Linked DNA regions of Rattus norvegicus. The protein of the gene in region 1 purifies or fractionates together with the protein of each later gene. This does not show direct contact. Links are inferred from orthologs where the notes say so. Each region holds a gene or a part of one and is shown in the gene's direction. Other genes may lie near its edges.

Region 1 (4,175 bases):
TTTCTAAAAACCTAAATAATTACTATTTATTTAGCCCAGCTATCATGATGTTCTCTTTCTAGGACCACCATCATTCTTCTTATTAATTTTTGCTTATTTATTTAAAAACAATGTCTTTCTAAGTAGCTAAGTTTGGCCTTGGTCTAAATAGCAGGGGCTTCCCTCAAACTCATGACACTAAAGAAAAAGAAAGAATAAAAGAAAGGAAGGAAGAAAAGAGAAATAAAATGAATGAAAGGAAAGAAAGAAGAGAAAAATGAAAGAAAAAGAAAGGAGGAAAGAGGGGTTGGGGATTTAGCTCAGTGGTAGAGCGCTTGCCTAGCGAGCGCAAGGCCCTGGGTTCGGTCCCCAGCTCCGGGGGGGGGGGGGGGGGGGAAAGGAGGAAAGATAAAATTAAAAAAGAAAAGGAAGAGCTCAGGAAGAGGGAAGGTAAGATGGGGAGGAGAGAGCGTGGTTCAGCTCCATGGCAGAGACCTTGCCTAGAATGCATACTTCCCAGCACTGTAAACCCCCAAACAAGACAAAACAAAACAAAACAAAAAACCGTTTATAGCTGCCCAATGGACAGGGAAATGTAATTTATAGTAAGAGAAAGCATATTTGTGGGACCAGGAGTGAGGGCAGAGAGAACGAATTATCAGGAAGCACGAAGAGATTTCTAGATGTGAAAAACGTCCCCATACGTTGCTTATGACATTAGGCAAGTAGGTATATGCTCTGTGGGTGTGTGATGTGTGTATATGTATTTTTTTCAGAACTCTTGATCATTTATTCTTAAAGCCGATATTTACTGCACACATAAAAAAATAGCCCAGTAAAATTTATTTTAAAAGCTATCCTGTGCCACACACTGCCTGAAGAGAAGACTCAAATTTCTTATACTAGCAGACACCACAGTGTGGCTTCCTTCTCTCCTTGCTTCTCCTCTTACTCCATTCCCTTAAACACTGTCCATTTTAAGTACACTGCAGATCTAAAATGTGCCTAGAGGTCTCGCCCTTCTCTACTCCCAGTTCAGTTTGTCTCACCTCTGTGACCTCTTTTTTGTTCCCCTGACCCGATACAAAAGTCTATCACAGAAAGCTTTTGGTGGGGCTCCTGTTATGTCTTCCCAACTCCGTGATTAGGCTTTGAGTGTGACAGCTGTTCCTTGTCATTACCACGACTGCAACTAGGGTACCGGGTCACAGAGCTGCTGAGTCTTTGGAAAACCAGAGCCTGACTTTATAATCAATCATAGCCTGGAAAGGCAGCACCGACACCACCCCTCCAGTCCTGCAGGCGGCGCTGTGGCAGCCGCCCGCCCATCTCCCGACCGCTCTGAGCGGAGGCCCCACCCCCTAACAGCATGCCTCCTGCCCATTGGACCGGCGCGGCCGGGGCTGACCAATGGCGCAAGCGCTAGTGCGCCTCCATCTTTGGGCCGCCAGAGTCCAGCGCTGTGGGCGGTTGCGGGAGAGCGGTGGGCTGTCAGTGCGACAGCGCGTTTCTTGCTTCGCGGCCTCGTTTCGCGCTGCCCGAAGCCGCGATGCCTCAGTTCCAGACCTGGGAGGAGTTCAGCCGCGCGGCTGAGAAGCTCTACTTGGCGGACCCCATGAAGGTGAGTCGCTGCAGGGACGGCCCCGGGACTGGGGTCTTCTCTAACCTTGGCGCGACCTGTGCACATCCAGGAAGCTGAATCGGTCTACCGGTGTCACTGCCCTCTCTCGTCTCCTTCCATCTGACACGGAGACCCATGGAAGCTCCGCCAGCAACCACAGGCAGAGCCTTTTCCGCAGCGGCGGGCTCCAGAGCAGGCTGCACCCGGTGGAACGCCTGACTTCCGCTATGGATTTGGTTGGTTTACGTGTCGCCGGCTCTTTCCTGTCCGTCACGTATTTTAGTGCCCCTTTCCCTTCCCACCAAGACGCAAGAGTACCTACTTACAAAGTGGTGATAATTCCGGTCCCAGTTGGGAAGAACCTACTCCACTTTTTTTTGGATAGTGGGGATTTTTAGTTTTTTTTTTCCCCGTGGGTCAGTTGAAACCTTGTGAATGCTTGCACTTATACGTTAGACATAAATGTTTGCAAACGGTTCATTCCCCAAAGCAGAACTACCCATTCCCATTTACCAGTCCAGAATAGGTTCCGGGAGAGACACAAAGGTACATTTCACCGTTCCTTAAAGGGTTGTTGAAGGTAAGGTAGATGCATTCGTGTGTGTGTGTGTGTGTGTGTGTGTGTGTGTTTGCGTGTGTGCGTGTGTGTGTGTGTGTGTGTGTGTGTACTGAATAGATGCTCAGCATGCAGAACTCACTTAAGAACGGGAAGAGGGAACCGACTCCTCAGAGTTGCCCTCTGATCACACATCACACATGCACGCGTATACATACACACACACAGTAATAAGTAAAAATGTAAAAATACATTGGAGCTGGCAACTTGTAGTGGCAGTACTTACCTCAGACTTTTTACAGGGAGCCATCTCTCCAGCCCACAGGAAGCATCTTTTAAAAAGGTTAATTCATGGGACTGGAGAGATGGCTCAGTGGTTAAGAGCACCGATTGCTCTTCCAGAGGTCCTGAGTTCAATTCCCAGCAACCACATGGTGGCTCACAACCATCTGTAATGAGATCTGATGTCCTTTTCTGGTGTGTCTGAAGACAGCTACAGTGTACTTATATATAATAAATAAACCTTTTAAAAAACAGCAAAAAAGGTTAATCCATTAAGTCTTATGTGTACCAGTGTTTTACCTGTGCGTTTATGGTGTCTGATGGGAAAAGAGGGCATTGAATCCCCTAGAACTGGAGTTAGGAATGGTTGTGAGCCACCACGTGGGTGCTGAGAACCAAACCTTTGTCCACCTGCAGCAAGACGAGTTGCTATTATGAATGGTCTTAGACCCAGGAGGGGACTGGTGGTGCACACCTGTAATCCCAGCATTCAGGATGCTAAAGAGAGGAGAGTAGAGAATTTGAGGTCAGTTTAGGCCACACAGTGAGGCCCTGTCTAGGGTGGGGTTGGGGAGAAATGTATTGGTGGGGGGCATTAGAACTATAGGAAGACCAGGATAGACAGTAGAACATTTTGAGCCATTCTTGTTATTTTTTTAAGATACTCTCATCTCACGTGTCCCAGATTGGCCTCATTAATTTCCTGTGTAGTTGAGAATGATCTTGAACTCTGGATACTAGTTCCCCCCTCCCTTCTAAGTCTTTTGAGGTGGCCATGTTAAGCCCAAACTGCCCTTGAACTGAAGGTCCTCTCCAGCAGCCCAAATGCTGGGATAACAGGCGTGTAACACCCTTCCTGGCTTTATGTGGTGCCATTTGTTCTAGTTTCCTTTCTGTTACTAGGAAACACCCTGGCAAAAGAAGCATGGGGCAGAAAGTATGTATTTGTGTTATCATTCCAGGTTATAGTCTGAGGGAAGTCAAGGCAGAAACCCGGAACTGCTACAACCATACTCAGAAGCAGAGAGACGGTGCAGCCGTGCAGCCTGCTGGCTTCTGCTTGACTTAGTCTTAGCTGTCTCCACTCATACAGTTCAGGGCCCAGCACTAAGTTGGTTGTCTTCCTACCTCAATTGACAGTTACGACAGCCGGCTCATACCCATAGGCCAACCTGATAACTGCAGGCTCCCTTCTAAGGTGACACTTCAAACTAATTATCCTATTGCTCTTAACATTGACACGATAGTTCATTGGTTTCATGTGCAAAGTGATAATAAATGGCAAGGTAAACTAGGTATCTATGAGGTTGTGTAGTTTGTGACAGTGGTGGCTTCTTGTACTTTCATATGGCTCTTCTCTCTGTCCTTTGCTTTGACATCATTTCCTCAGTTGAGCAGTGTGCTGTACCGTGTATAAGATTTGTCCAGAAGGGCCTGATACTGACCATAGTATCCATTGTCTGAATTTAGTAAGAAGACAGCAACACACATGGAGTGACTCTTTGATGATGTAGCTGCAGGGAGTTGTGGTGATGGAAAGGAGACAGCAGAGGAGAAGCTGCCCAGGGAGAAAACCCTAGTGGCCTCCAAACTTAAGTAGAAACCCTGGGTCTGAACCCCAGTCCATTTGATCCTTGGAGAGCTAACGAAGACAGTTTGTCTGGTCTCTAGAATTTATGTGAGGGAATTCTGCCTTTGGTACCCAACATGTTTAGTATCTTTTCACCCTTTACTCTA
Region 2 (3,500 bases), on another chromosome or scaffold:
TTCCAGTGTGTGCTCAACAGAGTTGCAGATTAGCAGCAGTGACGGCCTTGGTCCTCATGCCGCCCAGGGAGTAAGCAGGAGCCACCACACTCAAACCTGGAAGCACTTATTTTAAAGGCACAGCGAGGGCCTCCATGTTAAAGTGAAGGAGGCCCCTTACGCAGACTCCAGTGAGGTTCTTAAAGGCGTGAGGATAAAGGAAAACTTACCATCACCCAAACATGGAAGCACTTACTTTCTTCGTTCCAAAGCAAGGACAACCACGTTTAAGTGGTGGGAAGCCCAGTCTTTATACTTACGAAGTTGCCAGGCTCTTGACTGCAGCATTTTAAAGAGAATGGTGAAGAGTTTGAAGACACCCCCACTGAAACATGGAGGCAGGTAATCCCATGTTAAAGCAGAGGGGACTCCCACCAGACGCCAAGGTGTTCACTCCTCCAGGGAACCTTGAGTTCACTTCTACTAAAACATGGCAGCACTTACTCTTCAATGTGACAGAAAGCATTCCCATGTTAAAGTGGAAGGGAGCCCGCCCGCCCGGCAGCTTCTTAGAGGAGCGCTGGCTCGGAGCCGTGAAGGGACCAGGCTGCAGACTCACCTTACCTTGGTGACCTGCTTCCTCGCTCTCCTCGGAGGGTGGAAGACGGCGACTTTAGACCTGGTATTTATACGACTCCCAGCTCCTGCAGTCCTTGGGCTTTCTATGTGGAGAATCGGTTCAGGGCCTTTGTTATTTTAATGTATCAGCTCCCAGGGAAAGTAGATCCTGGGGCTCCAGGGTAGGTCTGGGTTTTTTTTCTTCCCCTTTTTTGAAGTAAACAGATGTCAATGTTAACTGTTAAAACCATTACCACAAGATATCCTCCTCTTTAAAAAAAATCCCCTATCTGCCTGTTTGATGGCACAGATTAGGGTAACAATGAGCACCCCCACAGAGCCCGGGAGGCTTTGTGCTTCTCTGGGGGAGCCCTGGCTGCCTGAAGACACATCTACATGTTAAATGTATGTAAATAAATAAACTGCTGTCACGGGCTGTTTTTTTCTTCTCAGAAATTCCTTTTGAATTAAGTAAATCCTAAGGAATGTTATCTCTCAAATTGGAAGCAATTTGAGAAATCTTTGAATCTCAGTCTCTTACCTTTTCCGCAAGTTGCCTGATTTAGTAATTGTTACTTCAGGGAAGTGACTCAAAAGTGATTTTACAATTGAATATTAGAAACAACTAGGAAACTCCTCAAGCATTTTCCTTGAGTATTAAGGAAGAGAAACTTCCTTTGTGTGTTTGCAAGATAGATTTATGGCTTAACAAATGATGTAAATGTGTGCCTTAAAAAAGGAAAGTGGGAAAGACTTGGAGTTACTGTGAGCATTATGTCTAGTCAACCTCAGGTTTCTGACTGGGTCGTCTTGTCACTATAGTAGTTCAATTTTTGTTTTACAGGACTGAATGGATGGATTTGAAAAAAGAGTATTTGGCACTGCAAAAAGCTAGCATGGCTTCTCTAAAAAAAACAATATCTCAAATAAAATTGGAGTCGGAAATGGAGACAGAGTCCAAAGCGCCTCGTAAGTCTGCAGTGGGGACTGAAAGGGTGAAGCTCATGCAGTGTCATTTGGCTATTTACACCAAAGAGCAGGCTTTAGTCTATAAATGTTTTCAAGGGTGGCTTCATAGCAGTGATAGAGTGCTTCCCCAGTTTAAGCTGAACCATTACCAAAGAAATTTTTTAAGAAAAGACAAAAATGTGAAGGTTTATATTACCGAGTAAGTTTTAACAGCCTGCCTACTCTTTCCCTACATCCCCTGTGAGCTCACTCCAGAGTGCCTAGAGGGAGGAAGAGCGACTGCAGGTCTACTGGGCGATGTGCACCAAGTGGGAACATATTAAAGCATATTCTCACTTGCTGTAGTATTGGTAAAGATGTTAAGTTCTTATAAATTATACAAATACAAATTCTCGCATTTGAGTAGTGTGCTTTGATTATTCTTATGTTTATATTGGCATATATCTATTCAACTTTTAGTCTTTGGTTTAGATGTATAATGCGTTTTATTCCATATTGATTCCAATGAGCAATGTGATTCCTTAATACTAATTTCCAGTTGCACGAGTTCTCAGTTCCTTAAGTTAGCCTGAGAAGTCTCTGCTGTTGGAGGATGGTGCTTCTCATGTGAAATGTGAGGGGTGAGGAAGTTACCTGTGCCTCTTTCCTCTCACAGCAGCAGGCAGTGGTCAGCAGTGCTCCACCCAGGAGAAGGTCAGTGCACAGGGCCCGCAGTTCGTGACTGGAGTGATCGTGAAGATCCTGAGCGAAGACCCTCTCCCAGGCAGGAAACAAGTCAAGGTAATACTTATGAACCCCATGTGACATGTTTTCAAAATAGTATGGAAACAAAACAACTCTAGTCAGAATTTGTACCTCTCTGTAAACTGCTAAGAGAGTCCAGGGTAACTCTGACAACTCTTAGCTTTACTCTGAATACCAAAATTCCTCAGGATAGAAGCCTGAACGCCTGCCTTTCTTGTTTCCCTAATGGTTGGTGACTGTACTTCCGTGGAAAATGATAGTGATTTGACCTTGGAGTTGTTGAGATATGTATTCAGTGTTAAGCCTTGAAGAGCTTTTCATCGATAAAGATATTTGATGGCATGTTTTGTTTGTTGGTTGGCAGGATTTTTCAAGACAGGCTTTCTCTGTATTCCTGGCTGTCCTTGCACTCACTCTGTAGACCAAGCTGTATTTGCCAACCCCAGGTTCTATTAGCTTACATCTGAAAACATGGTAACAATACAGAATGTAGCTTAATAACCTGACAGTAAGCAAATGCTGTGCAAGCATGGAGGCCTGGACTCAGTCCCAAGCACACAAAGGAGAATTTGGTAATGCAACAGTTGAAAGTCCTGTTGTAATTACTTAGTTGTTCTGAAACAAAAACTGAGCTCTGTTGCTGTCACTGATTACCAGATTAATTTGTCATTATATGGGTTTTTAATTAGGATATTAGCCTGACTTTATAATGGATAAATTGTAAATGCCTTTTGAACTGTGGTACTCTAAACTATCTGAAAAACTGATTATAAAACTCTCACCACGAATAGGAAACCCATTACAGTTTCATCAACTCAGTGCAGACTGGTCTCTTGCTGTGTCTTACGTAGTAATGATTAACTGGGTAACAACATTGGAAGGCTCTCAGGTCTCATTCTCTCTCTCTCTCTCTCTCTTTTTTTTTTTCCTTGATTGATGAAGGAAACATTTTTCAGTATGGAAGTTCCTGTCTTACAGAGCATGTGTTAAGGGTGAGCTTCTGTCTTCTAGGCCTGCAGTTCTCTTGTCCGTCACAGTTAAAGGATACACTCTTTTATCCTACAATAGCTAAAGTCTCAATTTTTTTTCTAAAACATTTTAAAAGAATTTGAGTTATTGTGCCTAGAAAATTCTATTCTATACTAAACAGTTTCTTTATTTCTTTAGTTTTAATGAGTGACATTTAACAA
Region 3 (3,500 bases), on another chromosome or scaffold:
AGGACGCACATGTAAAATGCAGGGTGACAGGTGTAAAGTTTCAGAAGTCCTCAGATATTTTCCCTTTAAAGCCAGGTCGTACTATGTAGTCCTGTCTTGTCTAGAAGTTGCTGTGTAGTCCAAACTGGCTTCAAACTTACAGTGATCCTCTTGTCTCATGAATCCTGGGATTTATTAAATCTGTTTTGTGATTTGATCATTTATATGTATGTTGTTCTTTATACATGTTATAATGTACAGAGAAATAAAATATCTCTGTAAAATGAAACAAGCTGGGGAGAGGACTCATGGAGTGAGAATATTTGCTATGAAGCAAGAGGACTGAATTTCAAATCCTCAGAATCTATGCATGTCTGTATTCCGCTAACCCTTCTGCTGAGTTTTGGAGACAGGCGGATCCTTGGAGCTTGCTGACCAATCAGCCTACCCAAAACGTCAAGCTTCCCGTTCACTGAGAGATCCTATGCCAACAGATACATTTGGAGAGTACACATCTGTTCACACATATACGTCACACACACACACACACACACACACACACACACACACCCCTGCACCTATAGCACATATATGTCTCATACACACACACACACACGTACCCATAACACATATATGTCACACACAAGCAGCCATAGCACATATATGGCACACACACCCCTGCACCTATAGCACATATATGGCACACACACACGCACACACACATAGAGCTGAGAGTTGGTGATATAGCTCAGTTGGTATAGTGCTAGCCTAGCATACAGGAGTCTCCACTGGAATCCAGTAGACAGGGTCTAGTATCAAACACTGCAATCCCAGCCCTCAAGAAACAGAAGCAGGAAGACCAGAAGTTCAGGGTCATCCTCAACTTCCTAGAGATTTTGAGGATCTATGATATATGAGATATATGAGGGATATATGAGATCCTGTATCTAAAACATAAAAAAATTAAAAGCCATCTGTAAAAGCCCGTTTGAATTTCCTTTGTTAGTCACTTTTTCCTTCTTCAGTCCCAAGTTTTGTCTCAAGTTTTGTCTTTATTCCTATTTTCTAATAAATATGCTTCCATTTTTAGGACAGAGGCAGAGTGCTTGGCTACTGTGATAATGAATGATAATTTTATGTGATGAAATTATTTGTCTTTGTCTGCAGAACTGGACAGTACAGATGGTGCCAAGGTTTTTAGTAAGCAACCAGGCAGAATCCAAAGAGTTGCCCGGGGATCAGGTGTGTCAACAAGAGATGTGCAAGAACTTCTCACACAGTATACCAAGTTTGCCCAGATGGTCAAAAAGATGGGAGGTATCAAAGGGCTTTTTAAAGGTGAGAGGAGAAAGAACAAAGTATCACCTAAAAGAACAAAGTTAAGAAATAAAATATTAAAGCCCAGTAGTCTCATACTGGAAAAGTGACTGGTGAATTTTGTGTCAAAGGGGTTGGGGCTTAGCTCTGTGGTAGGGCCTGCCTGGGTCCCTGGGTTCTGTCCCAGTACTAACGTTAACTCAATGTTAAAGTCAAGTACTACCATGATTAATCATGTGATACATGGTTTATCTCTTCAGAATCAAGATGGTAGACATTAATATTGAAAACTATTTTTATCAACATACATACCATAATTTAAAGAACATTAGAGTATAAAAAGACTGAAATCATTTTCTCTTCCTCAGAGAATTCCACAAATCCTATTGGAGACAACAATTGATATAACCACTGATCTTTTTCCCATATTGCCAAACATTCCTTAGAATATATTGATTAACTAGGTTGGGTATCTCATGTTTGTACTCCCAGAATTCTTGAGACAAGAGAAGCAGCAGGAATGTTGCTAGACTGGTCACCTAGTGAGTCCTAGTCTAGCCAGGGCTGCATACCTAGAACCAGCCAGAACAGCACCAGCCAAAATAAGAATGGTATATCTTATACACATGTGCTGTGTTTAACCACTCACTCCTACGCTTCCAGCAGTGTGTCTTTGTGCCTCTTGTTAGAGCCTTAAGTTGACTTGTCAGTTTCTAGGCCCTTCCGTAGAATTAGTTCTGTTCTCTTTGATGGAAGTATAGTAGACACTAGTATATTTTTTGTTTGTTTTGTTTGTGTTTTGAGACAGGGCTTTTCTGTCCTCTGTAGCCTATGTAACCCTAGCTGTCCTGGAACTCACCAAGATCTACCTGCCTCTGCCTCCCCAGCGCTGAGATTAAAAGTGTATGCCACCAAAGTACATTTTCTAGTGCAGTTTCTAGTTTTTTTTTTTTAAAGATTTATTTATTTATGTATTATATGAAAGTACACTGTAGCTGTCTTCAGACACACCAGAAGAGGGCATCAGATCTCATTACAGATGGTTATGAGCCACCATGTGATTGCTGGGATTTGAACTCAGGACCTCTGGAAGAGCAGTCAATGTTCTTAACCACTGAGCCATCTCTCCAGCCCGTGCAGTTTCTAGTTTAATGGTCACTTTTTCTTTTTTAGTACATTTTCAGTTCTAATATTTTAAAGTTTTTTTCCTTTGTATGTATAAATTGGCTTTCCATTGTGAATCACTTCTTCCCTGTTCAGGTCTCCCTATTGCTCTGTAATAACATCTTAACAGACTTGTTTTTCACCTTTAAATGTCATCCCGTTTTTCATTTGACTTTATTTCTATTTTCTAATGAGTTTCTATGTTTAGGGCTGGAGGTATAACTGAAAGGTAGAGTACTCAGCCAGCGTGCTTGAGGCTCTGAGACGCCTTGACCGCTAGTCCTCCATTTCCCCTCCAAAGTTACCATTTTCTTTCTTTCTTTTTTTTTTTTTTTTTTGGAGCTGGGGAAAGTTACCATTTTCAAGTGGGCACAGTGCCTATAATCCCAGGATTTAGGAGGCAGGAGGATATTTTCAAGTTCAGAACCAGTTAGGGCTGCATAGTAATATTTGGCTACAAGGCTCTACATCTGCCCTCATTAGCTGCTGAATAAAGTCTTTTTGATAATAATTATGCATTTAACTTTAATGAAGTATCTTTTGGCAAACAGACACTATGTAGATAACCATTTTACTTGATTAGTAAAGGTCTTGTGTCCCCTGAATCATTTGAAATAATTGATATTTCTTTCCTGAATGGTCAGGGATACACCCAGGGCAACCCAAGAGCACCACATGCCCATGTGGTTCCATTTGGTCTTTTGGAGTTCTCTGAGCATACACATGCAGACACCAAGCTGTCTTACTGTATCATTTGGTACCTGCCATGTGGTGGTCCTCACAGCTTTCCTTCCTCACCATGGTCCCTAGCAGGGGCTGCCTAGCTTTGCTGCTTGTTGTACTATATAGTGTACAACTTGGGCTCTCAGGGGTGAGAAGGGAAGGAAGGTCTTTCTACCTTAGATTTCTGTTAAGCAGTTGCTGTTGGAGAACCCATTCAGTCCAGATTTGCTCAGAGTGGTTTATCACATTTATAACTAAAAATATCAGGGAAACATCACAACTATAAGAAAATACTTCTAGCCCAGTGTGGTGACTTA

What was found. The genes of interacting proteins can lie anywhere in the genome.
Region 2: the proteins of Srp9 (region 1) and Larp7 purify together in Homo sapiens (affinity purification with mass spectrometry; 3 studies listed by BioGRID and IntAct, with this or other methods). This does not show direct contact. The link is inferred for Rattus norvegicus from reciprocal best matches to the Homo sapiens genes SRP9 and LARP7.
Region 3: the proteins of Srp9 (region 1) and Srp54a purify together in Homo sapiens (co-immunoprecipitation; 4 studies listed by BioGRID and IntAct, counting the BioPlex papers as one, with this or other methods). This does not show direct contact. The link is inferred for Rattus norvegicus from reciprocal best matches to the Homo sapiens genes SRP9 and SRP54.

The regions. Positions count from the first base shown.
Region 1 is NC_086031.1:96,362,878-96,367,052, forward strand, and holds the start of Srp9 (signal recognition particle 9 kDa protein), read left to right. Parts: upstream 1-1,375; 5' UTR 1,376-1,528; coding exon 1,529-1,600; intron 1,601-4,175. UniProt on the Homo sapiens protein: Component of the signal recognition particle (SRP) complex, a ribonucleoprotein complex that mediates the cotranslational targeting of secretory and membrane proteins to the endoplasmic reticulum (ER).
Region 2 is NC_086020.1:218,677,309-218,680,808, reverse strand, and holds part of Larp7 (la-related protein 7), read left to right. Parts: intron 1-1,441; coding exon 1,442-1,566; intron 1,567-2,221; coding exon of another isoform or gene 2,222-2,224; coding exon 2,225-2,346; intron 2,347-3,500. UniProt on the Homo sapiens protein: RNA-binding protein that specifically binds distinct small nuclear RNA (snRNAs) and regulates their processing and function.
Region 3 is NC_086024.1:78,353,753-78,357,252, forward strand, and holds part of Srp54a (signal recognition particle subunit SRP54), read left to right. Parts: intron 1-1,146; coding exon 1,147-1,317; intron 1,318-3,500. UniProt on the Homo sapiens protein: Component of the signal recognition particle (SRP) complex, a ribonucleoprotein complex that mediates the cotranslational targeting of secretory and membrane proteins to the endoplasmic reticulum (ER).